Tamandua tetradactyla: one gene and its partner. The protein of the gene in region 1 purifies or fractionates together with the protein of each later gene. This does not show direct contact. Links are inferred from orthologs where the notes say so. Each region holds a gene or a part of one and is shown on either strand. Other genes may lie near its edges. The genes, in order: protein argonaute-4 and TNRC6A.

What was found.
Region 2: the proteins of protein argonaute-4 (region 1) and TNRC6A purify together in Homo sapiens (co-immunoprecipitation; 4 studies listed by BioGRID and IntAct, with this or other methods). This does not show direct contact. The link is inferred for Tamandua tetradactyla from reciprocal best matches to the Homo sapiens genes AGO4 and TNRC6A.

Annotation. Positions count from the first base shown.
Region 1 is NC_135328.1:189,608,221-189,624,189, forward strand, and holds the start of protein argonaute-4, read right to left. Parts: upstream 6,889-15,969; 5' UTR 6,799-6,888; intron 1-6,798. Other genes in the region: CLSPN (claspin), read left to right, coding at 7,130-7,159, 10,736-10,844, 11,362-11,810, 12,373-12,534, 13,210-13,287, 13,594-13,666, 15,290-15,398, 15,589-15,969.
Region 2 is NC_135349.1:32,287,370-32,303,713, reverse strand, and holds the start of TNRC6A (trinucleotide repeat-containing gene 6A protein), read left to right. Parts: upstream 1-7,563; 5' UTR 7,564-16,344.

The DNA of each region.
Region 1 (15,969 bases):
ATTCAGATGTGAATTATATTCATAATGTAGTACTGCAATACCACTATCCATTACCAAAACTTTTCCATCAACTGTGGTGGTTGGGACCATATTGACCCAGAAAAACATTTTCTTATACTTAATCCATTCCTGTGGGTGTGAACCCATTGTAAATAGGATCTTTTGATAAGACTACTGGAGTTAAGGTGCAGCCCAACTGAATCAGGGTAGATCTTAATCTTCTTGCTGGAATACTTTTTAAATGGAATGAATACAGAGAGAGAGAGAGAGAGAGAGAGAGCGAGCCAGGACACATGAAGCTGAAATCAATGAAACCAGGAGGAGAAGGGAGAGACCAGCAGACACCACCATGTGCCTTGCCACCTGGCAGAGGAGCCAAGGTTCCCTGGTAGGTATTCCTCAGGAAGAAAGTATCATCTGGATTTGAACATTTTCTCAGCCATAAATGATAAGCTAATAAATTTCCATTGTTAAAGCCAACCCATTTTATGTTATCTACTTTAAGCAGCTTAGAAAATGAAAATACCATCTGATTGGGGGAAATTGAATCCGAGAAGAAAGAAGTGACTTCTGCACAGGTACGTGGCTGATCAATGGCAGAGCTAGGAGCTGAACCAGCATCTTTCTAATGGCAATGCCCATGCTTGTTCCATTACACCTTGCTGTGCCTTTGACTCATTTCTTATCTGGGTTATAGCAACAATCTCTCATTGCTTTTCCTGTCTCCAGTGTTCTCCATAGCCCATTCTCCAGGCTGAAGCAAGCCCAACTTCCTAAAACACTGCATTGTACACCTTAACTCAACATTGGCTGGTTTTTCTTTGGTAATATGGGTGTAAATTGTTTGATTTGGCATTAAATGGTGGAAGGAATCAATTTGTTTGGTGACCTTAGGCAAATCATCTTCGATTACAAACTAATCCAAGCCAATTTGTTTACTTATTAATTATATAATAATAATAAATATGTATTTATTGATTCCTGAGTGGTTTTTTGTTATCAAGGGGAGGAAGGCAGATAATAATTTCTAACACTGAGAGATGAACATGTGTTCATTCCCCAGACTTTACTACCAAATCATGTGTTACAATGGAAGCAAGTCTCAGAATTAAACCTGCCACTTGATCAAATATTTATTAACAAGCAGGCAAAACCAGTCATACAACTTGTAGACTTGATGAAATTCCAGCTCTTGGCCCATTTAAGCACTCTGCCAAGCACATTGCATGAAAGGTTTCTTTATGTAACAAGAATATTCTAGCACCAGGATCAAACTAACCCCCTAGTCAGAATAAGGTATCAGGGGAGAAAAGGACTGAAGAGTTCCTAGCCCTTAAAACCACTCTGAGAAATATTGTTGCTAGGCCCACTAGATTCTCATATCTTGGTCACGAAGGTTGGAGGATCCACGTACGATATTTCTAGCCAAATCACATATCTTGACACCACTCATTTTACCCATAAAAACTATATTTGACATCTAGCATCTAGCCACATCTAACTGCTCTTTAGTGCTGACTGGAGATGAAGGTGGTTGACATTATTGCAATAAGTGCTACTAGAACGTGGACTATTGATTGGAATTTCTCAGATACTAACCACTTCTAGAGTTTGATATTTCTTATTAGGGTACTTCAAGTGTTACAAATGGTCTCCAGGTTTTACACTGAAAGTAGCTCACACACATGTATATTACACTTTCTAGTTTGAAATATTAAAAGTAAAATATAGACAACATAACACCTTCCCCTTCTGGGGTTCACTTGTTTAGATGAGGAGAAAGGATGAGCTGATTTCTAAAGTTTCTCCCAGAGTTGACTTTTTATGATTTTATAAATTAATTTTATCTGGGTTAATATCATGGGAAAACTTGCTAATAATTGCTAGAGGGTCATTCAGCATGAAAACCTCTTTTCTAGAACATTCCCATATTTTCTTCAAAGGATCTTTCTTTCCAAAATAGCACTTCTTTCCCCTCGCCCCTGTTCTAGTTTGCTAGCTGTCAGAATGCAATATACCAGAAATGAAATGGCTTTTAAAAAGGGGGAATTTAATAAGTTCCTAGTTTACAGTTCTAAGGCTGAGAAAATATCCCAATTAAACTAGGAATCTCCTCCTTTCGTCAAAATGTTTCCTCTTTTATAGGATTTCAGTAAAGTAATCAAGACCCACCTGGAAGGGGTGCAGACACATCTCCACCTAATCCAGTTTAACAACCATTTTTCATTGAGTCACATCTCCAGGGAGGTGATCGAATTAAAGTTTCAGACATACAGTACTGAATAGGGATTAGAAGAAACAGCTGCCTTTACAAAATGGAATTAGGATTAAAACATGGCTTTTCTAGGGTACATACATCCTTTCAAACTGGCACAACCCCCAACCACATTATCACTCTCTAACCTTTAGCACCCTTTATTTTTCTTCAAAGGACTTATCACTGCCTGATCTATTAAATATTTATCTACGTATTGTCTATTGTCTATCTACTGCTACAAGAATGTAATCTTCATAAGAGTTTATTCAAAACAGTATCACTTGGCCTGGCCAATTTTCAGGTGCTGCATAGCACCAAGATATAGCAACTTAAAACAACCATTTATTTCTGTAATTTTGGCTGGGTTTAGCTGGGCGATTCTGCTGTCTCACCCTTGGTCACTCTTGTGTTTGCATTCATATGGAGGCTCAGTAGGGCTGGATGGTCCAGGATGATCAGGTCTGACCGTTTGCTGTTGGCTGGGATGTCTTGATTCTCCTCTATGTGGTTCATTCAAAAGGATAGCTTGGGTTTCTGAAATGGTGGTGGCAGTAGTTTAAGATAATGAAAGTGGAAGCTACACAGCCCCTTAAGGCCCAGCCTCAGAAGCCACACAATTTTACTTTCACCATATGCTGTCAACCAATGTAAGTCACAAGTTCAGCCCAAATTCAAGAGATGGAGAACAAGATTCTGCCTCTTGATGGGAAGAATGGCAAAATCACTATGTAAAAGGGAGACGACAGAACGCCATGATTATTCTCACAATCTTCCACAATGATCCACAATGATCCTTTGTTGTCATTCCCTAAAAATCTTATCATCATTCCTGTCTCCATGCCTTTACCCATTCCATTTTCCCTGCCTAAAATAGTATCCGTTTTCTTCTTTGCCTATATAAACACGGACATAAACATCAGTTTTTCACTGATGTTTAGCAACCATGGCCCCACCCTTTACTGGCCCCACCTTGGCCAGTAAAACCTTAGTCATTATAACAACTGTGACAAATCCCCTGATTGAATACCAGTGGCAAAATCACCTTTTGGCCCATAGTGGATACAATATCGTTTTGTCTAGCTGTACCCCAACTATCCCCCCCATGACTTCCTCATACTGATCTACTTTTAGTTTCCCAAACATAACATGCTGCATCAAGCCTCTACACATGCCTTGCATGTCTTCTTCTCCCCACGTTGGCCTGCAGAATTCCAATTCATCTTCAAAAATCAGTTCAGGGATCATCTCTTGCTGACTTTCCCAAGGTGAAGCCATTTGCCCCACCTCAGGCCCCCAAAGCCACTTGATTTTAATCTGGTGATATAAATTCAGAAAACTTTCTACTAGTAGATCTATCATTCCACCACACAAATCAATATTAAAAAGAAAGTCTGAAATTACATGTCTATGAAATAATAAGCTATGAAATTTAACATGCTTAGCTCATCCCAAAGTTGTTCCATTTATATTTGCTCTTCCATTATTGCACACTCTTGTTTGCTTGCCTGTTTCCAACCCAGCAATGTGAAACTCTTTGAGAACAAGGCTGTATTTTATTTATCTTTATATTTTCAGCATCTAGAATAGGCTTAAAATAGGTGCTCAAGATTTCTCAAATAAGTGGATGAGTATGTTATGGGTACTTTAGGTTGTGGCAAAGGACATTCTGCACACAAAATAGCTGATGGGAAAAGGCCCTGGTACTTTTTTTTTTTTTTAGGCTATGATATTTTAATGATTCAGTCAGCAATTATTTATTAAGTGTCTACAATGTGTCAGGTCCAGTGCCATTTTTAAAGGTCAGGGGTTAACTATAGTAAGCAAGAAAAATAGCCCTGGCCTTCAAGAGGGCACTTTGCAAAAGAAGCTTTTTAAATATATAGAAAAATGGCAAGGGGTCGTTTTTAAAAGCAGATACTTGGAGAAAATAAGCATTTCATGCCACCAAAGGAAACTTTAAGTAACTCTGAACAATCTTAAAATGAAAAGAAAATGGTTTTAGGATGGAGTGGCTGCTAACCATGGATGGATTGACATGACCAAGACATAACACATGGTGGCGCTGCTTCCCAGGGATGAAGATTAAAAATCCGTGTTTGGTGATTCTAGAGGTTTTAGGACTTTAGAAAAGCAAGTCGATCTCAAACTTGGTTCAGAGGAATAACAGCACTAGAAAATAAACATGGTAGGCTTTCTCAATTTGCAGAGAAGTTGAAATAAAAGATACAATTTAGTTAATTTTCTCCTTCCAAACTTTCTTAAGCCTTTGGGGCCTGCATTTGATTGTGTACCAGTGAGCAAATAAAAATAGAATACTTTGGAATGGGCTGAGCATGTTAAGTTCCATGGCTTATGATTTCATGGACATGTAATTTCAGTATTTCTTTTTAATATTGATTAGTGTGATGGAATGATAGATTCTACTAGCAGAAACTTTTCTGAATTTATATTACTGGATTAAAATCAGCAATATTGCAAAGCATTTCCTACAAATACCATACTTTCAGGTGCTCTGTCAGTTAAGCCAATCTGAGAATCATGAGCTGATCCAAGGTCTGTAAATAAGACAGCAGGGCTCTGAAAAGCTAAATGACTTACATAAGGCCATAAAGTCATCTATGGGACAGGCTCAGGCTAATCCCTTTAAACACTACAGATCTTTCCCTTGCAGCCACCTTCCATCTCCATCAAAAGGTACTCTAGGAACTTCAGCTTCCTTTCTTCACCTCTCATTCATTACTCAACCAATTACAAACTGCCTTCTATCCCCACACCCACCAATAAGATCCTATCATCATCCTCTTTTCCTCTCATGTCTCACTCTATCCACCTTTATCCTTTTATTATTAATTTCTACACTGACGATTCCAAAATATGCATCTATAGCACTCACTCTCATATTTAGAGGGCTAAGATTTTGGGGGCGCTGACTCCGTGCCAGAAGTAATTATAAGTCTCATCTTATTACTCTTCACAGTAACCTTGTGATTTAAGTAATACTGTTACCTCCATTTTAGCAGATGAGGAAACTAAAGGCCTTTAAAAAGCTAGTAACGGGGAGTCACACCCTGTTCTGACTTCAGGGATCCTAGAAGCCATCCAAGAGAACTTGCCTGAGTAGTCTCTGCATTTTCCCTCCTTTCCCTGCTCTAGTTTCCCAGTAGCATTTATTATTGTCTGAAATTTTATTTATGTCTATTTATTTTCTGTTCCAAAAGGACAAGCACTTTGTATTATTTACCAATAGCTATTCTCTACCTTGAGCAGGCATCAAAATCATTTCAAAAGCTTGTTAAAACCCACAGTGGTGAGACTTCCTGCCCCCAAAGTTTCTGATTCAACATGCCTGAAGTGGGGTCTGAGAATTGCATTTCTAACAAGTTCCCAGATGATGCTGATGTTGTTTGTTGGTCTGGGAACCACACATTGAGAACCAAGAACATCCCTGGCTCATGGTAGGGGAATCAATAAATATTTGTTGAATGTACTTGACATATATTATTCTTCCCGAATTCTCTCTCAAAAGTGTATCTTCAAATCTCTCTGCAACTTGTGAAAGAAATTTTCAACTCCCTAATGAAGTATCCAGCAAATGTCAAACTTGTCTAATCATTTGCACCTCAAACCTACTCTGCTTATCTCATAATCACCTCTACTCTGTCTTCCAAATTCAAAATTTTCAATTCTTTCCTTTCATTCCTCCATCTAATCAGTCTCCAAGTTTTGTTGATTCTACCAATAAATGGCTCTTAACTATAACACCCATTTCCCAGCACCTTAGAAAACTTGGAAGAGGGAACCAGCGGAGAGGGTGACCAACCATCCCAGTTTGTCCGGCAGGGTCCCAGAGATGTGGGAGTTTCAGTGTTAAAACTGGGAAAGTCCTGGGCAAACTGGGACTAGTTGGTCATCCTACTGGTGGATAGAACTGTGAGTGGGAGAGGTGGTAGGTGTGGTAAATAGGCTGATTTTTCTTTCCTTGCGCTCTTTGTTCTCCTCATGGTGCCCTTCGATGGCCTAACCCAACCTGAAGCCTGACCACAAGATGGAGTAATGCAGTGCCGGGAGGTTCATTTTGCTGTGACACAGGGCAGGAGAAAGAAAGGACAGGAAATGGACCTGGAGTAGCAAAAAGATAACCAACCTACTGGCAAAACTGGGATTAGAATTCTCTGGGATTACTGTGACTCCAAAGCTTTTACCTTTTTGCTTTACAGAAAGATTGAAGTGGGATGGATGACAAAGATAGTCTTTGCTATGTGAGCAGACCACAATGTTTCTTTTCTTTTGTGCTCCGTGGCATGAATGTCATACACAAGAAGGGGCAGACGGAATATAGCTGGCTGAAGGGCTGGAGCAATTGGAGAAGTCCCCCAGAGGTGCCTGGACTCCCGCTGGAAAGATTCAGAACACCACAGGAGCCCTGGGACCTCCTCCCAGCTCACTAACCGCCTGGAGGGCTCACTCCTCAAATTGCGCTGGATGGGAGTGGCCGAGCTATGGCAAGGGTCAAAGGTCAAAGATCACCACTGGCTTGTTACCTTCTTGCAAGGCCAGAAACCCGATCTCCCGATACTTTAGCGCACCTTCACCCCAGCACCCGCTCAGCTGACAAGACGAATCGCGACCCGCCAACCCGACCCAGATTATACTACTCGGAGGCGCTTAGTGATTGGTAGGACGGAGTGGGGGGCAGAGACTCCGAAAGCCTCTTTCCGATTGGTGCAAATCATCGAGGGTGGGGCTTCCACTCCGGCTGGGCGCGAAAGCTCGAAGCGGGCAGCATAGCTGAAGACGGCTGGAGCGGGTACTCCCAGACAAGGAGCCGGAAAGCTGCTTGGTCCAGAGCACAGCGCTGTGGTGACTGGAATCATGACGGGAGACGTGGCTCCTGAGGTGAATGTATGTACGTCCCTCCATCCGGGCTGTTGAGGCCCGGCGCCGAGGGGCGGGGAGGGGCACTGATGGAGACTAGCAGAGCCGGGTTCGCCTGGCCTGGAGGACTACAACTCCCGGCGTGCCCCGCGGCCGGCTCGGCGGCCCCGGGACTCTGCGGGTTACTTTTCCGCGGGCGGATTCCTGCAGTTCCTGGATTCCCGCTCTCCGGCTTCCGGAGTCTTTGCGGCGCCCCTTGCCTGCAGCCAATTGTTGTCTAGCGCTTGCCCATCTCTCCTCCACCTGCCTCTCTGCTTTGGCGCGTTTCCTGACGCGGTTGCTTTTCCTCTTAAATCGCCCCAAAAGAGGAAGGCCCAGGCCGAATAGGGTCGCCAGAGTGCAGGGCAGGATTCTCGATAGAGGCAGCGTTGTTGGGAAGTTTGAGATTTGAGTCTAGAAGGGGCCTTTGATGTCCTCGCGCGCTGATGTCACCCTAAGCCCTCCCTCCCTCTCCCCCCGTTCTCCGACTAGGCCCGCTGTGGGGAAGGAGCGGTTTCGAGCCTTCCCGATTGATGGCTGACTTTTGGGCTTAAAAACTACATTTCCAGATTCCTACTGTTTTCTGGGGTGCAGAATTTAAGGCGGCAAAACAAAAAGAAACAATAAAAACCCCTCTGGCTAAAATATCTAATAGTTTTTAAATCAAAATTAATTCGAAACATTGATAATGTGTTCCTGACCAAATGGGGGAAAAGAAATGTAATAAAATAAAATTTCAATAACTAAGAGATTTTAAATAGAGTCGGGAGACTGTTCTGGAGGTTACTCTTATGCAGGCTTCAGCTAGATATTGCAAAATGCCATGGTATGCTAAATCCCAACCAACAGTATTCCTGAAAACCCTAAAGAATACCCAGTACTCTGAGACTGTATAATAAAGTTTCACTTACTGAGTTTGCTTTTCTGAAACCTAAAACCTCCAGATTGTTCCTATACCAGCTAATCCCTGAAACCCAGAGGTACCAGTCTCTCCAAGAACATCAACCAGCTGCATCCCCCTACCCCATAAGGTCAACACCCCTTTTCAACATGAAGATTTTAGAATGGTCATTCCCCAAATAGCCCTAAAGTTTGGGAGAAGGTTCAAAGGAGAAGGAGGAGTTATAACCCAGAAGATAGGATTTAACAAATCAGTATGACTATTGAATCATATTGATATTTCTTTTTAGTCTCCAGTGTATTAGAATAGCTAGGGGGAAATATCTGAACTTGTGCAAGTGTAACTCAAATCATACTTTGAAATTTGTTCTGTAACTACTTGTTAAAATGTACTTTGAAATTTATCACTTTTTTGCATGTTATTTTTCAAAATAATTGTTTTTAAAAAAAGAACAAGAAACCCACAAAAATCAAAATTAATGCAAAAAATTCCATGATTTGATAATTGAACAAAATATCAAATAAAGACAAGATCCTCCCTGCCTCACTCACCTTACCCCACCTCATTCTCCTTACAGTAATCCAGTCCCTGATTTCAGTCCAATGAAATTTTATTTACAAAAACAAGCAACTGGGAAAAAAAAAACAAAAAACAAGCAACTGACCCCATGAGCCATAGTCTGCCATTTTGATACTTTAAAAGATATTGCATTAAAATATTATTTATCTTGATTACTGAGTTTTTCTGGTGTGTCACCATCTCCTCCTGCTTTTGTTGTAGCAGCTGCTGCTAGAAATTGCCTGGAATGGAAAAGATTAAAAGCTTTATCGTGTACAGCGCTGTGTGGTTATCTAAACTCAATTTCTGCATCTGCAAACAGAACTAATCCTTTTTGGATTGTTGGAAGGATAATCAGGATTTACCTCATAATTCCCAGTGATTCCTCAGTGTGTTACATTTTGTCATTATTTTAATAGGTGTATCAGACATTGAAATCGATTTAATAGTTATTTGAGAGGTAAGGCCTTGTGCCCTGTTACATTACAGATGTTAATATTTTCCCCCTTTTTAAGAAGTTTTGACTTAGAGCCCTGAGAACACTAAGGAGGTAGTAGACCTGGCTTCTGGGGTCTGCTTTGTCACTAACTGGTCAAGTCATTTAATACACCTCTCCTTAAGTTTTTCTAGTTTGTGACTTTTTAAAAATAAATTCCTAAACCTATACAGACTTAGAGAGACTGATACAATGAACCCATCACTCAACTCCAACACTTTTCAAATCATGGCCAGTCTTGTTTCTCCTATACCCTTACCCACTGCCCCCTATACCTGATTACTTGGAAACAAAACCATACATCATAGCATTCCATCCACATATTTCAGCATGCGTCCCTAAAAGCTAAGGGCTGTCTTAGTTTACTAGGGCTGCTTTAACACCACAGACTGTTCGGCTTAAAGAAGAGGAATGTACTGTCTCATAGTTTTGGAGACTATAAGTCCAAAATCAAGGTGTTGGCAAGATTGTGCTTTCTCTGGAGTCTGCAGCATTCTGGTGGAGGCTTGTTAGCAATCCATAACTATCTCTGCCTTTGTCACATTATCATCTATCTCCTGTCAACTGTCCACATTTCCACTGCTTATAAGTCATACTGGATTGAGGCCTCCCCTGATTCTATATGATCTCACTATAACTAATAACATCTTCAAAGATCCTTTTTACACATCAGTTCACATTCACAGAATGGGGAGTTAAGATTTTGTAGGGGATGTGATTTATCCCATAATAGGGCTTTCTGAAAAAACATAAATCACAATTAACACTAAATTTTTAATTGCTAAAATTGAAATTTTAGAATTGCTCCTTAATATTAAAACTCTAGTTGACTTACATTTTTTTCAATTTTGTTTGAATCAGGATCCAGACAAGGTCTGTATGTTGCAATTGTTGATAAATATCGTAACTCTATTTAATCCCTCTCTTTTTTCTTGCAATTTTATTTGTTAGAGAATCTGTATAGTTTGTCCTGTAGAAGAGTTTCCTACATTCTGAATTGCATCTATGTGGTGTTACTTAACATGTTCCTCTGTCCCTATATTTCCTTTAAACGAGTAGTTTGGCTAGAGACTTGATCATATTTAGATTTTATTGTTTTGGCAAGAATGTTTCCTAGGTGGTATTGAGTACTTCTATCAGGCAGCACATAAGTCTGGTTGTTTCTCTTGTTTTGTCATGTTAGCCACCCTTGAGGATCATTGCCTAGTTCTGTTATTTGAGGGAGGGTTGCTAAAATTCTGGTTGTCTAATTCTATCACTTCTTTTTTATTGATTAGCTAGGATATTTCCCTAAGGGAAAACTTCCTCTCATCAATCATTTTTGTACACAGTGAGGAACTGTTTACACAGGAAAACCATAATAAATAACTGCTTCCTTTCATTTATTTACTATTATTAAAAATAAAGTGTTGGTTCTATAGCATCCTTCAAAGGTGACCAATGAATTTTTATTTGTTTTTGTCCAGTACTTCTTAATGCCATGCCTTCATTGAACCATTGCACAAGTTTCTTCATTACTTCTGATGTTCCCATGACGATTTGTGTATCATTAGGTATTGGTGCTTTCTGTCACCTGCTGGTTAATGTAAAGTATATTTGCATTCTGTAGGTTCACCTAGAAATCAATGATCCAAAACTGATTTCACATGAAGAGGCAGATAGTCCCTCAGACAGTGGACAGGGCAGCTGTGAAACAGTGGGGCCCTTGAGTGAAAGAGGTTTGTAATATCTCATACTTTTATTTTCAAGAATAGAACATAGAGTCCTATGCTATAAGTAGATTGGATTAATTTCATTATTCTCCTGATTTGTTAAATTATTAATGCACTAAGCTTATTGTTTGTTTGTTATAAAAGCAAAAAAACATTATACCTCTTTGAAAATATCTGTATTATATTATTGAATGTATAGCATGTTTAGAAATTACCATATTGCCTAGTTGAACACATTCATCCTATAATAAAGGGATTTTTAACACCTGTCAGAAGGATTAGAACAACTTGACACATTGTAAATATATATAATTACATTTCTCAGCAAGAGGCATTTTTCCAGGGAAAATGTTTTTCAAAATGTATTTTTAGAGTTTCTTTGCTACATTCAGTTCTTAGTGGTAGTTACAAAATATCACAAGGTAATGTCTCACTAGTATAATTGCATGTTTTTGAAAAGTGAGGGAACAAGGAGGAAGGACAAATGATTGTATACCTTTAAAAAGAATTGTGTTTCCTCCAGATTCAGATGAAGAGATTTTTGTGAGTAAGAAACTGAAAAGCAGGAAAATATTCCAAGACAGTGATTCTGAAACAGAGGATAGAAATGCCTCTCCAGAGAAAACTACCTATGAGAGTACAGAAGAGGAAAATAAAGAGAATGTATATGCTGGGAAAAATGGAAAACCCAGAAGAATTTACAAAACTTTGGCAGACAGTAATGAAAATGACACTGAGGAGTCTTTGTATTGGGAAAATCTTAAAACCCAAGGGATACCTTGCTTTGATCCAAGTCTCCAACCTGAAAAATCTGTGGACTTTACACTTGACAGACAGATTGTAAAAAATCCCATATGTCATAAAGAAGGAACAGGAGGAAAAGCAAAAGTAAAATCTAAGAGAAGACTTGAGAAAGAGGGGAAAAAGATGGAAAAAATTAGGCGGCTAAAAAAGAAGGAAACAGTGAACGAGGTACATTTTAAAGAATAATTTGCTATTTCTAAGGCAGATTAACATTTTAGAAAATTTGCTTTTAGTCCTCAAGTTTGTCCCTACGCTCAGAGAATATAACTTTGAGTTGATTGCTTTGCACTGGAAGTTATGGGTTATATGATTTAAACTATGTAGGTCTCATTATCTGTTTTGGATACTCAGAAGAGACCCCCAAATAAATGGGTTTGTGATTTTCTTTGTTAGCACATACAGTAATTCTTTACTGCTTGTGAACTGATAAAAAGTAAGTTTCAGAGGAGAATTTTTATGCATCTATCAGTCAAGCTTTATAAACTAGTTGGTTAATAAGTTTTTTGTTTTTCAGAAACTATTTATTGGTTAGTTTATTTTGGACGGTTACATAAAATCGCAGCTTGAACTTCAAGGGATAACTGTGGGTTACATTGTTCTAGAATGCCACATAACTTGTCTGCTGATGCAACGTGGGCTTTTTCTGGCCTAAACCAAATTGCCATGTGATGTTTTGAAATACTGCATTTTTAAATGACTGAATTGTGCTTTTTCTTTATGTACTATTCAGGAAGCTGATGTGAAACAGCCATTTAATGACAGTGGCTGTCTTCTTATGGATAAAGACCTTTTTGAAAGTGGGTTGGAGGAGGAAAATAACTCTCCGTTGGAAGATGAAGAATCATTAGAATCAATAAGGGCAGCTGTGAAAAACAAAGTGAAAAAGCACAAGGCAAGTAAAGGATGATTGCGGACAGAGCTAACCAGCTGCTTCTAACTTTTGCTTTATTTTTTTATTTACAGTTGGAACCTTATTTTTTTATAACCTGAAGAAAAGCATGTGTAAATTGATTTGAGGTTTTCAGTTGTTAATTTTGGAAACTTGCAGTATAAGTGATAGACATGCTAACTTGTTCAGAAACTAGTACTTTGCTATTGCCTGTTTAAGAATAAAAAAAAAAAGAAAGAAAGATACATTATGTTGTGGTAAGAAGCAGGTAAATAATAGGTCAGATGTGTGAATTTTATAACCTTGTGACCTCTGAGAATGAACCCTCTAGGAAGGAAATCAAAGAGAGGCCTCAGTCAAAAACATCGTTTCCTTAGTGTCTGGAAGTATAATTGTTCTTCCTAAGGTTTTCTTTCACTTCCTGGGAGTCATTATCCCTCCTTGGAGAAAAATGTAAGAAAGAGGTATAAGAAATGAGGATCCACGCTCCATTTGAGACATCTAGGTTATTTTTCTAACCATTTTTGGGTACTGTATCTTTCAAAATTCCTCTTTGATAGTTACTAATTTTTTACTAATGTAGGATGAAGTGTTGCTGAACTATTAAAGCAGTCAAGAAACATCCACTTACATTACTTTAGTTTTTGTTCATATTAATCAACTTGCAATCTCTTTTAGAAAAAGGAGCCATTGTTGGAGAGTGGGATCTATTCAGTTGAAGAAGAAAGTGAATTATCAAAAGGCACCATGAGGAAGGTAAGTCGAGCCTTATGTAATCATGTAGACTTTGATGTCTTTCCCATGAGATTATGGGCTTCTGTGTCTATTAGAGTATTTTTCTGGTACCCAACTTACTGCTTTGCACGTAGTAGGGACATATATAGATTGGATTGAATTAATTCTCTGAGAGTTGCGAATAAATGAAATCCTTGAGTTTAGATTGTATTGAGTTCATTAGTATTTACTATTCCATCATCTTATTTGGAGGGAGCAGACTCTTGAAGGATGAATACCTTTCTGGAAAATACCACTAATGTAATCTCACTTTTTGTTTTCTTTAAGGAAAGGAAGGCAGCCAAGTTAAGTAAGGAAGCGTTAAAAAAACTGCATAGTGAGACTCAGCGCCTTATTCGAGGTAATACAAACCTGTATGGTAAATTTTTTTTTCATATTTACATTTTTATTCAATATTTCCAAATATATACTTTTAAAAGGGGGGTTGTGAGGGTAGTCCAATGGTAGAATTCTCGCCTGCCACGTGGAAGACCCAGTTTGGATTCCCGGTCCACGCACTTCCCACAAAACAAAACAAACAAACAAAAAACAAAAATTCAACAAATGGTACTGCAGTAACAAAATACATGGAAAAATAAGGAAATGTGACCCCGCCATAGAGCATACAAAAAAAAAAGTCTAGATTCTTACACCAATTATCTCAAATGAGACCATGCAAAATAATTCAAAATATGTACAGCAATCATTTGCTTCCCTTCTGTGTCTCTGTTTTACACAATGATGTGATCAACAGAACTGAATGGGATGTGTTTGCTTGGAAAAAGTTACCTATTTATAAAACATGTAGGACAATTTGTACCTCATGTCTACAAGTCTTAATTTACAATACTAGTGTTTTTCTGTTTTTTATTTGAGTGGCACATGGGACTGAAAAACTTACCTCTGCAATTTTATGCACACACCACACAAAAAACACAAATGATCCTCTCAATAGACTTTATTATCTGTAGTAGTTTCAGCTGTTCAGCTTGAAAATATTGGCTTATTCTCTTAAGATAAATACATTTCCTTAGGGCCTTTCCTCTAAATTTGCTAGACTGAATTCCAGAAGAATCCCCCCTGAATTTAAAGTGTGACTACTGTAAATATTCTGCTGCATTATGCAAATAGAAAACCTTGGAATGCTGCTAGTTGCATCAACTAAAGACAATCATTTGGTAAATGGCACTGAAGATCCTGACCCAAGTGGTACTACTTGATCCAAATGTTTCTGACCAAAGAAAATTATACAATGATATCTATAGGCTAACATTTTAAGAGATGGTTGATATCAATACTGTACATATTTTACATGTCAAATACATAGTTCAAAAGTTTATAAAATAGGATCATGCATTATTACCTCTAAGAATATCATATACTTGTATTTGGGGGATTCCTCTTGAATATGATATTCTTAGAGGTAATAATGCATTTCAAATGGAAGCAGTCTTATTGTATAGTAAATTTTGTAAGCTCAATTTGAATGTTGGGGATTGATTTTTTTTAATACTCCTAATATACATTTGGATTATAATATCGAGTTTAGAACTGATTTGGTGAATGGACACTGTCCTAAATCCCTTGGAACTTTAGTATAAACTGTAGTTCAGAACTACAGTAGAGGTAAAAAAGAGGTTTTTTTCTTAAATGGGTGTCTGTGGACTGGCTGTATCAGGATCTCTTTGGAAGATTTTCAAATATAATCATTCTTAGGCCCCACAGAGAGTCTGAGTCAGTAGCTTTGAAGTGGGGTCTAAGAATATATATTTTTAAAAAGCTTCCTGGATCATTTTTATTTCACAACCAGGTTTAAAAAGCTACTGGTCTTTGGGGAGCTCTTTTGTATTTATCTCCTGCCTTTGTTGAACTGGGGATTTTTTTCTGATGATGGCCTTGGCTGTACCGTTTGGTTAACTGAATATGAAGTGATATTTTCAGAACATACAGTACTTGTATTTGCTTGTTTTGTTCCATTTTATAGAGTCAGCACTTAATCTTCCTTATCATATGCCTGAGAATAAAACCATTCACGATTTCTTCAAACGTAAACCCCGACCCACCTGCCGGGGAAATGCCATGGCACTGCTGAAGTAAGAACCCTCTTTCCTTGTGATTATACTTTTCTTAAACATTCAGTTTTGTAGCAAACATCTGGAGTGAAAAATTTAGATTTCTCACTCCCTTAAAACTGACTTAACTGATTTTCATTGTGCGCTAAGGAGTGAGAATGTTTAACATTTAGGATAATTTTGAAGTCCTGCTTATTTTTCCCTTCTCCAGGTCATCTAAGTATCATTCAGGCCACAACAGAGAAATCATAGACACTGCAAATACAACTGAAATGCACAGTGACCACCATAGCAAAGATTGTGAGCAGACAGCAGGCACGGAATATGAAATGGAAGTTAATCCGCTTCCTACAGTTTCACAGGAACCCCAGATTACTACTGCATCAGATGAGTTTTGCAGTAAGGATTTGGTGGGAAGTGAAGAGGTGGACATTCAAGAGAAACAGAAGCAGAATAATGCTAGACCTTTACCTGGGGACAGCGCAGTGGAGCAACTGGAATCCAGCTTCCTCATGAGCAAGGAGGGCAATGAATGTCAGGCTGGAGGGCTTGTGGTGCTTGAACCTCAAGCCTTGGAGAGAGAAGAAGGCCT
Region 2 (16,344 bases), on another chromosome or scaffold:
GACATTTTACCTAACAACGAATTACCGCACAGGGGAAATTAAACTTTGTCACAATACTATTTCGTTCATATCCAAATTTCCCCAATGGTCCCAGTCCTGTCTTTATAGATGCCTTTACTTTTACCCCCCCAGTTCTTTAATCCAGTGTTGCATTTAATTGTCTTGTCTGTTTAGTTTCCTTGCATCAGGAACAGTTCCCTAGCCTTTTCTGCCGCTTTCATGGTATAGTCCAGGCTAGTTGTTTTTGCAGGCTTCACTGTGAATTTGCCTGATGGTTTCCTATGATTCGATGTGGTTTTAAAAATGTTTGGGCAGGAATATCCCATAGGTGATGATTTGTTATTGATGTATTATATCATGCTCCCTCACCCATGATTTTTAAGCAAATTAACTGGAAGGTTATTCAATGCTTTTACCTTTACACTAACTCATTATTTCATTTTAGGAAATAAGCAAGTAGTTTAAACTGAGATGTAATTTAAATGTTTAAGGTTAAAATAATTGTAGGTCTTCATGTTTAAATTGATCAGTTGTAATGATTGATGGTTTTATGAAAGAAGTAGTACCCTTATGAATTGCTAGACATAGACGTTGTTTGTTTTCAGCTTTGACCAATGATATAACTCTGGTAAGAAATTGAAGCGTTGGAGCTGGTTTTGTAATGTGCTTTCTTAAGAAGAATTCCCTTTTGAAGTTCGAGTAGCAGTGTGCCACTAGAACAGGAATTCTCATCCCTCTTATCTGATAGGAGGAAGTGTGAAAAATGGAATGTTTCTTTTTTTAAAAAATAAATTTTAAATAAACTTTTAAAAAATGGCATTTATTAGATTTCAAAGAATCATGGTTCCTGAGAACTTAAGAAGTATTGCATTATAGGAAGGGTGTCAGAGGAGCAGAATAGTGTCAATAAAAGGTGTGAGATTTAAGAACAGAAAGAAACATTGAACCAAGACATGGTTTTTGTTCTAAAAACAAAAGCCATGAAAATAGATGCTGTTTAAATTTCCTTTTTTAAATGGTCTTAGTTTAAGAGTGATTTGTGTTTGCATATTCTGTATGTGTATGTGTTGGCTATGAAGGAGAAATCCTAGCATTTCTATACTAGGGGAAAGCATTTTGAATTTTTAGCAGTGGTATGTTATGTGACGATGACTCAGCTGACTTCCCGTTTCAGATGGAATGTTGAAAACAAATTGAAACCTGGTTGAAGAATTTTATACTTTGAACCTTACAAGATATTTTCTGTAAACAGCAATTGATTGGATTTTGTATAATAACAAACAAGATTCAATTAACTCACTTGTTTTGCTCTCTCTACTATTGGCTTTCCATCAACTAGCATTTATTGAGCAGCTTGCTGCAGTGATATTGAATATTTTTATGGTGTGTTTTGTTGTCTTCAGTCCCTTCTGTTCTTTTGAAGAAGCCTCCCAAAACATGTGTGTCCACACAAGGAAATGGTGGTGCATGATGCTAAATATGCATTGATTTCTAGTGTATTTGATTTCTCTTTGATAAGTGACTATACACAGGATGAAATATTTTATATGTTGTTTTGCTTGGGAATCCCTAGGCTGAATGAAGCATTTACATGCTTACCATATGAAAATAGAGAGGGACCCATAATGTGAATTCTTTTCACTGCTACAGGTTAGTCATCCTCGAGTCACAGTTCTGAGCCTGTCACTGTTTCTTATAAACCTTTGTTGGCTCCCCAGTGACTCAAATTAAAGCTTAGTTTGTTGTTCTCTGCTTAGTTTATCTGTTATTCCTTGTCTCTTCTACCTCTTACCCTATCCTCAAATTCATTCTTCAATTTCTCCCTCAAATTTTAAAACTATTATTGAGATATTATTTATATACTCTCTTAAAGGATTCAGAATGCACAATTCAGTAGTTTTTAGTGTATTCACAGAGTTGTGCAGCAATTACTCTACTTCAGTCTCTATGGGTTTGCCTATTCTGGACATTTCATATATTTACTCTTTGGCCTTTTGTGTCTGTCTTTCACTGAGCTTGTTTTCATGGTTCATCCATTTGTAGCATTTATCATTACTTTATTCTTTTTATGGCTGAATAATATTCCATTGTATGACTACCACATTTTGTTTATCCATTCATTAATTGATGGACAATTTTTGATGTTTCCCCTTTTTGGTTATTATGAATAATACTGCTGTGAGCTGTCATGTACAGGTGTTTGGACATTTCTTCATTTCTCTTGTGTATTTGGAGTGGAATTGCTGGGTCCTACAATAACTCTAATTTTTTGAAACTATCAGTTTTCCAAAGGGGCTGCACATTTTACATTCCCACTAGCAGTGTATGAGGGTTCCAGTTTTTCTCCATTATCATTACCACTTGTTAATTTTTATTGAGATATCTTCATGCACCATGCAGTCTATCCAGAGTACGTAATCAGTAGCTCACAATATCATCACATTATTGTGTATTCGTCACTATGATCATTTTTCAGAACATTTATATCACTCCAGAAAAAGAAATAAAAAGACAAAAGAAAAGCCCCATACATCCTATACCCCTTAGTGTTCCTTCTCATTGGCCACTAAATTGTGATCTACCCAGTTTTTTTTAAATCTCTTACCCCCCCCCCATTATTTATTTATTTATTTATTTGTCCTTATTTTTTTACTCATCTATCCATATCCTGGATAGAGGGAGTGTCAGCCACAGGGTTTTCACAATCACGTGGTTACATTGTAAAAACTATATAATTATACAGTCATCTTCAAAAATCAAGGGCTACTGGAACACAGTTCATCAATTTCAGGTATTTTCCTGTAGCCACTCCAATACACCATAATCTAAAAAGGGATTATATGCATAAGAATAACCTTGAGGATAACCTCTCGACTCTGAAATTTCTTAGCCACTGAAACTTTATTTTGTCTCATTTCTGTTTTCCCCCTTTTGGTCAAGAAGGCTTTCTCAGTCCCATGATGTGGGGTTCCTGCTCATCCCCAGGTTTCATTTCCCATATTGCTAGGAGATCTGCATTCCTGGGAGTTATGTCCCACATAGAGGGGAGGGCAGTGAGTTCACCTGCCAAGTTGACTTAGAGAGGCCACATCTGAGCAACAAAAGAGTTTCTCTGAGGGTGACTCTTAGGCATAATCATAAGTAGGCTTAACTTTTCCTTTGCTGGAATAAGTTTCATAGGGACCAGCCCCAAGATCGAGGGCTTGGCCTATTAAATTGGTTATCCCCAATGCTTGTGAGAATATCATGCATTCCTCAAGTGGGGAAGTTTAATATTTCCTCCTTTCTCTCCAGTCCCTTCAGGGGGCTTTGCAAATGCATTTTTATTCTCTGCCAAAAGGATGTATTGGGGCATCACACTGACCTGTACAAATCAACAGAATCTCACTCCGTAATCAAGATTCTTTGTAATTAAGTTGTTCAAATAAACTGACCATACAGCTAAATTAGATATTGCACCACTTGTTATCTTTTTCGTTGTAGCTATCCTAGTGAGTATAAAATGGTATCTCGTGGTTTTGATTTGCATTTCCCTGATAACTAATGGTGTCAGCAGTTTTTCATGTTCTTACTATTTGCATATCATAGGAGAAATGTCTATTCAGATCCTTGCCCATTTTAAAAATATTACTTGTCTTTATTAGAGAAGTTGTGTATTTACGAAGCAATCATGTATGAAATACAGGATTCCCATATACCACCTATTATTAACACCTTGCATTGGTGTGAATCATTTGTTACAATTGATGATAGCACCTTGTACTATTGCCTACAGTCCATGGTTTAACTTATGGCTCACTGTTTGTATAGTATAGTTCCATGGATTTTGTCCATTTGTTAATTGGGTTATTTGTGTGTGTGTGTGTGTGTGTGTGTGTGTGTGTGTGTGTTCAGTTGTATGAATTCTTTATATATTCTGGATATAAGTCCCTCATCAGATTTATGGTTTCCAAATATTTTCTCCCATTCTGTGAATTCTTTTTCAGTTTCCTGATGGTATCCCTTGAAGAAAAACTTTTAAATTTTAGTAGGTCTTGTGTGTATCTGTTTTGCTTTTTTGGAGGGTGGGGGGTGGAGTGTCACCTGGGTATTGGTACCCAATCCAAGGTCATAAAGATTTACTTCTTTGTTTTCTTCTAAAAATTTTATAGTTTTGGCTGTTACACATAGTTCTATGATTCATTTTTGAGTTAATTTATATATATAGATATATATATCTGGATGTGAATATCCAGTTCCAGCAACATTTGTTGGAAAGACTATTTATCTTGGCACCTTTGTTGAAAATCAGTTGACCATAAATGTAAGAGATTATTTCTGGGCTCTCAATTCTATTCCATTGATTGTATGCCTATAATTATGCCAACTCATACTATCATGATTACTGTAGCTCCACTTTTTGTTCTTTTTCAAGATTATATTGATTATCTTGGGTCCCTTACATTTCTATCTGAATTTTAGGATTAGCTTTCCAGTTTCTGTAACAATGGCAACTGAGGTTTTGATAGGGGTTGTGTTGAATCTGTAGATCAATTTGAGGAGTATTGCCACCATAATTAATATTAAATGTTCCAGCTTATAAACATGGGTTGTCTTTCCATTTACTCGGTCTTTAGTTTTTTTTTCAATGATATCTTGTAGTTTCCACTGCACAAGTCTTGCACATCTTTTGTTAAGTTTATTCCTAGGTATTTATTCTTTTTAGTGCTATCATAAGTGAAATTGTTTTCTAAATTTCATTTTTGGATTGTTCATTGCTAGTGTATACAAATACAGTCAATTTTTCTATGTTGAGCCTGTATCCTGCAGCTGTGCTGAACTGGATTCTTAGCTCTGATAGTGTGTGTATATGTATGTTTGTGTGTGTATTCTTAGGATTTTCTAAATGCAAGAGTGTGTCATCTGTGACTAGAGATGGTCTTTACTTCTTTTCTAATCTGGGTGTCTTTTCTTTCTTTTTCTTTAATTTCCTCAACTAGAACCTCCAGTATGAATAGAGGTGGCAAGAGCAGGTATCCTAGTCTTTTCCCTGAATTTAGGGAAAAGTATTCAGTCTTTTGCCATTAAGTATTGATGTGAACTGTGGGTTTTTTCATAGGTGGTCTTTATCAGGTTAAAGAAGTTTCCTTCTATTCCTTTGTTGTTTTTTCATAGAAAGGATGTTGGAGTTTGTCAAGTGCTTTCTGTGTCTTTTGAGGTTATCATGTGGTGTCTATCCTCTTTTCTATTAATATATTGATGTATTGCATCGGTTGATTTTCATGTGTTATACCAACCTTGCATTCCTGGGATAAATCCCACTTGACCATGATGGACAATTCTTTTTTTATTTATTACTGAATTTGATTTGTTATTCTTTTGTTGAGGATTTTTCAGTCTGTATGTATGAGTCATTGACTTACGATTTTTCTTTGTTGATGCCTTTGTTTGTTTTTAATTCCTTGTACCTGAGTTGATCTGGTTTGGGATCTGGAATCCGGGGCTTCAAGCTATTGATTTGGCATCTACCTCGTTCTGCATTGTGCCGTAATTGTTTTCATATATTCAATTCCTTTTTCTACTGTATGCTCTTTTTTCTGTGGGAGGAAGGGCATGTTGTTATTACAGCCTTTTTTATGTCTTAATCTCAGCCTGGTGTAATATTTTTATCTAGTCTCTTATAGCTAACATTCCATGTACAACTTACTATGTACATATGTTAAGGACTTCATCTGCATTACCTAATTTAATCTTCACAACAACCCTTTGAGGGAGCTGCACTTTGAAACTTCTCACCAATGAGATGGAGGCTTAGAGAAGTTAAACAAGTTGCTTAACGTTACACAGTTAGCTGGTGGAGTTGAGATTTAAGTCCATTTCTCTTTGGCACCAGAGCCTGAGCTCTTAACTGCATGCTGTACTGCCTAGGAAATGCTTATATGAATAGATTGAATTTAAAATGGTCGTTGAAGAAGTAGAATGACAGTAGGACTAAGACTGAAAAGAGTGCATTTTCCATGGTGATGCTGGAGTGATAGGTAGTAAAGGCAAGGAAGCAGAAATTGGCATCTAATTAGAGGGTCCAGTTGTGGGGAGTACAAAACAAGTAGAACTGGTTTTTCTCTTCCAAAGCGACAATTAGTCTTGTTTGAAAGAAGTGAGATTAACATCTGAAATAATTAGAAAGTGAGTGTTATGTAATTAAAGGTCAAGGGTGAGGTCTGTGTGGGCTGAAAAGAATAATGAAGGAACTGATAATTAAGCTAAGCCACAAAAGAAGAGTAGGCTTTAGGTGGGCAGATTTGGCAAACCTGGGATTTGGGTCATCCTTACCAAAGTATTGCCTTGTATTATCTGACAAATCACTTAGATGTTCTGAACCTTGGTCTCTTTTAACTGTCAACTGGGAATAATAGCAGTTTTGTTTCAGGAATATTGTAGGTTCAAAATGGATAATATGTCAGAATACTTTGTATACTACAGAATGATTCTGTCGTTATGGTGGGATGTTTATTATACACTCAGTTTCTAATCTCACCAACTTTCCTCAACCTGAGCTTGTTTTTTTTTTTAACATGGGCAGACATCAGGAAATGAACCCAGGTTTCCGGAACAGCAAGTGAGGACTCTGCCAGTGAACCACTGTTGCCTGCTCAACCTGAGCTTTATATTTTGAAATAATTTCAGTTTTAGAAAAGTGTTCAAGAATGGACAAAGAATTCCCGAATATCCTTCCCTCAGATTCCTCAAATATTGACATTTAACTACATTTGCTTTATCATTCCTTCTTTTTATATGCATAATGTTTTTTTTTCTGAACTGTTTAACTTGCAGTCATGGTATTCCTTTACCCTGAAAAATCCTTAAGCATATGTTTCCTAAAATCAAGGACATTTTCTTAGTAACCACAGTACCATTATCAAAATTGAGAAATTAACAGTGGTATAATCTTCTTAGCTCTACAGACCTTTCTTAGCTCTACAGACCTTACTCAATTGAAATTTTATGAGTTGCCTCAATAATGTCCTTTGAGCAAAACAAAACAGTATTTCCTGGGCACGGATTCAAACCATGATCACATGTGGCATCTAGTTTACATTTGTTTAATAATCTGTTTTTCATTGTTCTTCAAGACCTTGATATTTTTAAAGAGTACAGGCTAGCTTTTCTGTGGAGTATTCTTGTATGTTTGTTGATGTTGCTGTATTTGTCCAGTATTTCTGTATCTGTGTTTTGTCTGATATTTCTTTATGCTTAGATTCAGGTTATGCATTTTTGTCAGGAATAGCACAGAACTGATGTTTCTCTCAGTGCTTGATGTCAGGAGACATGATGTCTATTTACCCCATTACTGGTGATGGTAATTTTAACCACCTAGTTAAGGCAGTATCTGTCTCTTATCATGGCTATAAATGTACTATTTTTGTCTTTGTAATTAATAATTATCTTGTGGGGAGATACTTTGGAGACTGTAAATATCTTTTTTCTCATCAAATTTTCACCCATTCCTTTTAGCATCCATTGATTCTTGCCTGAATCAATTGGTTGGTAAGTGAAGATTTTCTAATTCTATTATTTATACATTAATTGACATTCACTGTAAGATCTGTTACCTTCTACTCTTTTTTAATTAACTTATTAAAATCAGTATGGAATCATAGGTTCTTATTTCTATCCAATGGATTGTAAACCTTTACTAGCATTGTTTATTTTATTACTCAAATTTTGGGGCCATTTAAAAGCCCCTTCAACCTGAGCCTACTTTTTCAAGAGATCTAGGCTGACACTTGGACTCTCATTGCCCCCTCTGCATATTTTATCCCATTTCCTATTTCCTATCTTCCTTTCATTCTTTTTTTTTTTTTAACCCGGGTCTCCGGCATGGTGGTGAGAACTCTGCCTGCTGAACTACGGCGGCCCACCCCTGTTCATTCTTTTTTTTTTCCACATGGGCAGGCTCTGGGAATCGAACCCGGGTCCTCTGGCATGGCAGGCAAGCATTCTTGCCTGCTGAGCCACCGTGGCCTGCCTACCACCCCTGTTCATTCTTAAGAGGAAGTTGTGCTGTTTACCAGCACCTGTGACTCCAGTGCTAAGCTTTCTGCTTGTGTTTTATAGTTCAAAATCATATAATATTTAGAAATACTAAATTTCTTCTCCTTTTCTCCCCTCCCCGCTCTTCCCCCCCCCCAATTTTTTTTAACCACTTAACAACCTACTCCCCCATTATTTATTTTTTGTCCTTATTGTTTTATCATCTGTCCATACCCTGGATAAAGGGAGCATTAGCCACAAAGTTTTCACAATCACATGGTCACACTGTACAAGCTGTATAGTTATACAGCCATCTTCAAGAATCAAGGCTACTGGAACACAGTTCAACAGTTTCAGATATTTCCCTCTAACCCCTCCAATACACCATAAACTAAAAAGGGATATCTATATAATACATAAGAATAACCTCCAGGATAACCTCTTGACTCTGTTTGAACTCTCAGCCACTGAAGGTGAAATAATTTCAGTTGATTTTGTCTCATTTTTCTCTTCCCTCTTTGGTCATGAAGGCTCTCTCAGTCCCATAATGCCGGGTCCTGACTCATCCCCAGGAGTCACGTCCTATGTTGCCATCTTTGTACCTCAAATATGGTACATTATGGGTGTTCACTAACTGTGGTATAATGTTTTTGCCATACCATCCTGCTACAGACATTCAAAGAATAAGAAATATTGAAATTGGACCTAATGCCTTGGGTCCTCTATTTAAAACCAGTGACTGTTCAGTCTTTGTTACTTTTGATGTTAATACCTTAATTACACATCTATGGTTCTTGAAAATATAGTATTTTATTTCCTGACAATACATTCTGTTATAAAAGGGTTCTTGCAGAAGATGGTAAGAAATAAGAAAAAAATGGTGGAGATGCACAGTACAGGGGATAGATATAAGAAGATCTATCAATCTGTCCAGAGAAAAAGAAGATTTATTCTCTGTGGCTCTTGAAAAGAGAGCTAGTACTTTACTTTTAAGAACTGCCATTGTGTAGGTGAAAGGAAAGAACATGATTTTGAGACCCTATATTTAAATTCTGACTCTACTCTGAACTAGCTGTGTGATCTCAGAGAAGTTACTTAACTTTTCTGAGCCTCGATTTCTTTATAAAAAGAAAATATCTTTACCTTTCATTAAAAGATATAAATAAGGAAATACATGTAAAATGCTCAGCATGTCATTGCAGCATTAATCACTCAGAGGTTTGATTTCATTCCTAGGATCCTTAGGACCAGTGAGTGGAAATTACTAAGTAGATATTGGCTTAATGAGGAAAGAATTTTCTAAAAAGAGGCTTAACTGTTGAATAAGCTGCATTTAACATAGCTGACTCTGCCATTGCATGCTGGTAGGGAAGCTCATTCTTGGACAGTGCACATAGTGATTTGTATTGGTTTCTGGAAGATGAGGCTAAAATTTGAAGCTTAGCATGAATAATTGTGTGGAATATGCCATTCTGATTCTGATCTCTTTTTTCCCCTAATCCAAATATTGCATTTCCTCCCATTTTATGTTTAAAAATCAATTTCAAGATATTATTCACATACAGAAAAATTCACACATTGACTTGACAAATACATACACCAGTATAAAACCACCTTCCAATCAAGTTATAGAACATTTCTATCTTCCTATAGCATTGATTCTTAAAATCCATTACAAAGGCTTTATACGTGTAACACAGGCTATAAATAAGTAAAAATACCAAGTTCTTGTAAAAGGGGAGCATTTCTAGAGCAACAAGGCAGATACATAGGTTCTTGCAGATTTGAGGAATCCTGCTACTAGCTTTCAAAGGATGGATGATTGCTGACAGCAATGTTGTCTTAGTGGAGCATGTATCAAACATGATGGAACAATTAGACCTATCAAATCCATCAACTTTTAATCCTTTTGATAGATATGTAAATGATATAGTCAAATATCTTAGTTGAACTGTACTTGCATTTAAGTACAGGAAGCCGAAGGGTTTGGTTACAGATGGTGCATTTATGTATTTTTTCCAGTTGGCTTTCTGAAGGAGGAGATGTGGGGAAAATGTGCCTAGTTGGCTGTGATTATAGTGTTGAAGAGCGGAAGGTTTTCTTTTTTTTCTTTCCTGAAGTGTCCTTACAATACTAGCTGAATTCTGGAGAGGAAGTGTGGTAAATCTTTTAGTATTAAGGAAACCACTTTTGGCCAGAAGAACACTTACTTAGCTTATCAAAAAGCCTTTAAAATGAAATTTGAGAGGAAGGGAGAAAAAATTCCAGATAAATAGTAAGGAATATCCTATAGAGTGACATTACAGTGACATAGAACAGGATTAGAAAAGGAAATGTCTGTAATTCACAGAGCAGAAAGAACAAGTACTGCAGATTTCAGATGTTTCTGTATAATAAGCACTCATAATATCTTAAAACGTGTAGGGAAATACAGTCTTTTGGATGCCACAGAGACTTGGTGAGCGGGGTTTATGCCTAGGCATTTATCTGTTTACTTGAGGCACTGTACTAAGTAAGCACTTCACATTTAATCCTTATAAAAATTCTATGAAGAAGATATATATATGATTATCCCTAATTTTAATATGAAGAAACTGAGGCTGAGGAAGGTTAATATTTAGTACTCAGTGTTTGCTCTTGAGTTCTGCATGTCTTCTAGGATATGATACCCGGGACAGGAAATAAGATGATGATGTAACTAAATTGCATTTGTTTACTAATTTTATTCTATTCCTCATATGCTGTGGCTATATCAGTCCTTGACTTTCCAGGATGGTAGTGTGAGTGAGCTTGCTGCCTCATTACTTCTGTTACACAGAATGTGTGAGAATGAGTCATGTTTACAGTTGACATCAATTTGTTATACTACTCTCTTAGCTACATAATAGCTCTACACAGGACAAAATGACAACAAAGTATAGCAGCAGGTCTCATACTCTTCTACTTTTAACAGATTTTAGCGGTCATATACTTATCTTTACTAAATTATCAATTATGCATAAATTATTTATTTTGCTTTTTACTGTCTACCTGTATCCCCTTTGCATCACTTTAAATAAATTTATTTTATTTTTTAAATAAAATGCAATTTTATTGAGATGTATTCACACACTATACAACCCATCCAAAATATACAGTCAGTGGCTCCCAGGATCATCATGTAGTTGTGCAGTCGCCCCCACAATTAATTTTAGAACCTTTTCATTACTCCAAAAAATAAAATAAAAATATATAGAAGAAAACCCAAAACATTCCATATCCTTAATCCCCCCTATTATTGATCCTGGTATTGGTGTGGTACATTTGTTACTGTTAATGAAAGAATATTAAGATAACTATTTAATATAATCCATAGTTTGCAATAAGTATATTTTCTCCTATTTATCACTCCATTATTAATTCCTTGTAATAGTGTCGTGAATTTATTCTAGTTCATGAAGAACTATTTTATATGTGTACTGTTAATCACAGTCATCGCCCACCATGAGATTTGCTGTTACACATTACCACGTTTTCACCTCTAGCTTTCCTTCTGGTGACATACATAACTTTAAACTGCCTTTTTCAGACACATTCACTCAAAATTCAGCACTGTTAATTATACTCGCAGTAACTTGCTGCTGTCACCTTGATCTGTTTTGAAACATTTAAATTCAGTATGGTTAAACATTCTACACATACTAAGCAAGCACTCCCCATTCTCTAGCCTCGTTCTATTCCCTGGTAGTCTATATTCTACATTTTGTGTCTGTGAGTTTGCATGTTATAAGTAGTTCATATCATTGAGATCATATAATATTTGTCCTTTTATATCTGACTTATTTCACTCAATGTCCTCAAGTTTCATCCATGAAATTTGCTTTAGGATCTCATTTCTTCTTCCTGCTTAATAGCATCCCATCATATGTGTATACCATATTTTGTTTATCCATTTGGTGGTTGAGGGACACTTAGGTTGCTTTTATCTTTTGGCAATTGTGAGTAAAATGCTGCTGTGGACATAGGTGTGCAAGTGTCTGTTCCTATTCCTGATTCATATCTTCTCGGTATGTCCCAAGTAGCCTGATTGCCAGATCATAGGGCCACTCTATCCTTAGCTTTCTGAAGAACTATCAGACTTTTTCTCAGAGCAGCTGTATCATTGTACATTCTCACCAGCAGTGATTAAATGTTTCTATTTCTCCACATCCTCTCCAACACTTGTGGTTTCCTGTTTGTTTGATAGCAGCCATTCTAATAGGTATGAAATGATCTCTCATTGTGGTTTTATTTTGCGTTTCTCTAATAGTTAGTGATGATGTGCTTTTTAGCCATCTGTAATTCTTGTTCATATCTTTTGCCCATTTTTTAATTGGATTGTTAGTCTTTTTATTGTTGAATTGTAGGATTTCTTTATTAAACTTTTATCAGATATGTGGTTTCCAAATATTTTCTCCTTTGAGTTGGCTGCCTTTTCACACTTTTAACAAAGTGTTTTGAAGCACAGACGTAGTCAGTTTTGAGGAGGTCCCATTTATCTATTTCTTCTCTTTGTTGCTTGTACTTTCAGTGTAGGGTCTAAGAAACTACCATCTGTCACTATATAGATCTTAAAGTTGTTTCTCTTTATTTTCTTTAGAAGTTTTATGGTACTGGCTTTTATATTTAGGTCTCTGATCCATTTTTAATTAATTTTTGTATAGGGTGTAAGATAGGGGCACTCTTTCATTCTTTTGGATATGTATATCCGGTTCTCCCAACATCATTTATTGAAGAGGCTGTTCTGTCCCAGTTGAGTGGATTTAGGAGCCTCGTCAAAAATCAATTAACCATAGGCCAAAAAAGCGTAGATGATCTGAGGTTCTTTTTTTCTGAGCCCTCAATTTGATTCCATTGATCAAAAATGTCTATCTTTATGCCAGTACCATGTCGTTTTGACCACTGTGGCTTTATCATCTGCTTTGAAGTCAGAAAGTATGAATCCTCCCACTTCGTTCTTCTTTTTCAAGATGGGTTTTAGCTATTTGAGGCTCCTTACCCTTCCAAATAAATTTGATAATTGGCTTTAACATTTCTGGAAAGTAGGAATTTTGACTGGGATTGCACTGACTATGTAAAATCAATTTGGATAGAATTGACATCTTAACAACATGTAGCCCTCCAGTCCATGAACACAAATGTCTTTCCATTTAGCTGTGTTTTGCAGTTTTCTGTGTATAGATTCTTTATATCCTTGATTAAATTTAATCCTAGATATTTAATTCTTTTAGTTGCTATTGTAACTGGAATTTTTTCCTGGATTTTCCCCTGAGAGTGCTCATTACTAGTTTATAGAGACACTACTGATTTTTGTATGTTGATCTTGTATTCTGCAACTTTGCTGAATGCATTTATTAGCTCTAGTAGCTTTGTCATAGTTTTTTTTTCCTTTTTTCTTTTTTCTAAGTATAGGATCATGTCATATAGTGACATCGTGCACATATAGTGAAAGTTTTACTTCTTCCTTTCCGATTTGGATGCCTTTGGTTTCTTTTTCTGGGCTAATTGTTTTGGCAAGGACTTCTAGCATTATGATGAATTAAAGTAGTGACTGGGCATCCTTGTCTTGCTCCCAGTTGGAGAGGGAAAGCTTTCAGTCTCTCACCGTTCTATGATATTAGGTGTGGGTTTTTCATATATGTCCTTTATCATGTTGAGGAAGTTTCCTTCAATTCCTGCTTTTCAAAGTGTTTTTATCAAGAAAGGATGCCGGATTTTGTCAGATGCCTTTTTTTTTTCATCAATGTCATCATATAGTTTTTCCATTTTGATTTGTTGATGTGTATTATATTAATTGATTTTCTTGTGTTGAATGACCTTTGCATACCTGGAATAAAATTATTTGGTCATGGTGTATAATTCTTTTAATAGGTTGTTGGAGTCAATTTGTAAGTATTTTATTGAGAATTTTCGCATCTATATTCAATAAAGAGATTGGTCTGTAATTTTCTTTAGCATCTTTAGCAGACTTTGATATTCAGGTGATGTTGGCTTCATAGAATGAGTTGGGTAGTGTACCCTCTTCAACTTTTGGAAGAGTTTGAGCAGGAATGTTGTTAATTTCAAGGAACATCTGGTAAAATTCATCTGTGAAGTCATCTGGTCCTGGGCTTTTCTTTGTTGAAAGATTTTTGATGACCGATTCTAACTCTACTTGTGTTTGGTTTGTTGAGGTCTTATATTTCTTCTTGATTCAGTGTGGGTTGTCCATGTGTTTCTAGGAGTTTGTCCATTTCATTTAAGTTGTCTAGTTGTTCGCATGCAGTTGTTCATAGTATTTCTATATGATCTTTATTTCTTTGGGGTCCATGGTAATGACCCTCTTCTCTTCTGATTTTGTTTATTTGCATCTTCTCTCTTTTGTCTTTGTCAGTCCAGCTAAGGTTTGTTGATTTTATTGATTGTCTCAAGAACCAACTTTTGGTTTTATTGATTCTATTGGTTTTTTCCTCTCTCCATTTCATTTATTTCTGCTCTAATCTTTATTTCTTTCCTTCTGCTTGCTTTGGGATTAATGTGCTGTTTTTTCTCTAGATTCTCCAGTTATTCAGTTGCATCACTGGTTTTAGCTCTTAATACTTTTTAAATGTAGGTGTTTAGGGTTATGCATTTCCTTCTCAGCACTGCCTTCTCTGCATCTCACAAGTTTTGGTATGTTGTGTTCTTTTTATCATTTGTCTTGAGATATTTGCTGATTTCTTTTTTGACCCACTGATTGTTTAAGAGCATGTTGTTTAACCTTTATATATTTGTGAAATTTCTGGTTCTCTGGTTATGATTTCCAGCTTCATAATGATCAGAGAAAGTGCTTTGTATAATTTCAGTCTTTTAAAATGTATGTAAAGACCTGTTTTGTGACCCAGCATGTGATCTAGCCTAGAGAATGTTCCTTGGGGGGAGAAGAATGTATATAATGCTGTTCTGGGATGCAGTGTTCTTTATGTCCATTAGATGTAGTTCATTTATCATATTGTTTAAGTTCTCTATATTCTTATTGATTCTGTGTTTATATGTTCTATCTTTTAGAGAGGGTGGTGTGTTGAAGTCTCCCACTATTATTCAGAGATATTTATTATTCCCTACAGTTTTGCCAGTGTTTGCCTCTTGTACTTAGGGGTACCTTGATTAGGTGCATAAATATTTATGATTGTTACTTCTTCTAGGTGAATTGCTCGTTTTATTAATATAGAAAGTCCTGGTCTCTTATAACATTTTTTTTTTTTGCATTTTAGTCTTTTTTGTCTAATATTAGTACAGCTATCCCAGCTTTCTGTTGTTGTTACAGCTTGCAAGGAGTATCTTTTTACATCCTTTCACTTTCAACCTATTTATATCTTTGGGTCTAAGATGAGTCTCTTGTAAGGCGCATATAGTTGGATCATGTTTTTTAATCATTCACCAATCTTTGTCTTCCAATTGGGGAGTTTAATCTACTAACATTCAGTGTTTTATTACTATGAAAGACAACCTTTCTTCAACCATTTTATCCTTTGCTTTTATTCCTCAGATCTGTTATTTTTCCCTTATTTTCCCCTTTAGTTACCTTTACTGGTAATCATCATTTTTTAATTCTCCTCTAAACCTCTTCTGTGTTTTTTAAAGATATCAATGTAGTCAATTTATGTTTTGTAATCACATCGCTGTACAACTGGAGCATTATTTACTTGTCTAGCTTTCTCATTTTATCTTCTGCTACTTTTCTACTGCCATATGTATTCCAGTTTTGAGAAATGATTTGCAGCTTCTGTATGTCCAGGTCATGTCTCTGAACCTTTCCTTGTCTGCCTGACTGTCATGCTGTCCCCTCTGGAAAGCTTTTTTTAGGGCAGAGTTTTGTACATTCTCCTTATGTTTTGATTTTCTTGTGTGGTAAGTCTTGGTTGTCTGTTAGTATTATGAATGAAAATTTAGGCGTTAGACTCTAGGGTGATTAACAGAGGTCTCTTTACCCAGTAGGTTCCTATCCTCAATGCGGAGGCTGATGCTGGCCTCTATATGTGTGAAGGGTGTTGATTGGTAGGCTGCACTTTAGAGTATGATGGAGGGGAGTGGCAGTACCCTCTAATAAGAAGGACTTTGATCTGAGGCACCAAATTGACTGCTAGAATCCTACTGGCTTCCTGAGGGAGGTTTAGTTTCTTTAGAGCATGTTTCCTGGGTTTTATTCTGGATTCAAGTGCAACTGCTTCCTCTGGTCATGTAGGCACAGGAATAGAGAGTGGATGGTAGCATTTGAGTAGCCGTGTACTTTCTATTCCTTAGACAGCTTTTTTTGTTCTATGCCTATTCTTGCTTTCCCTGCTCTGATCTTTG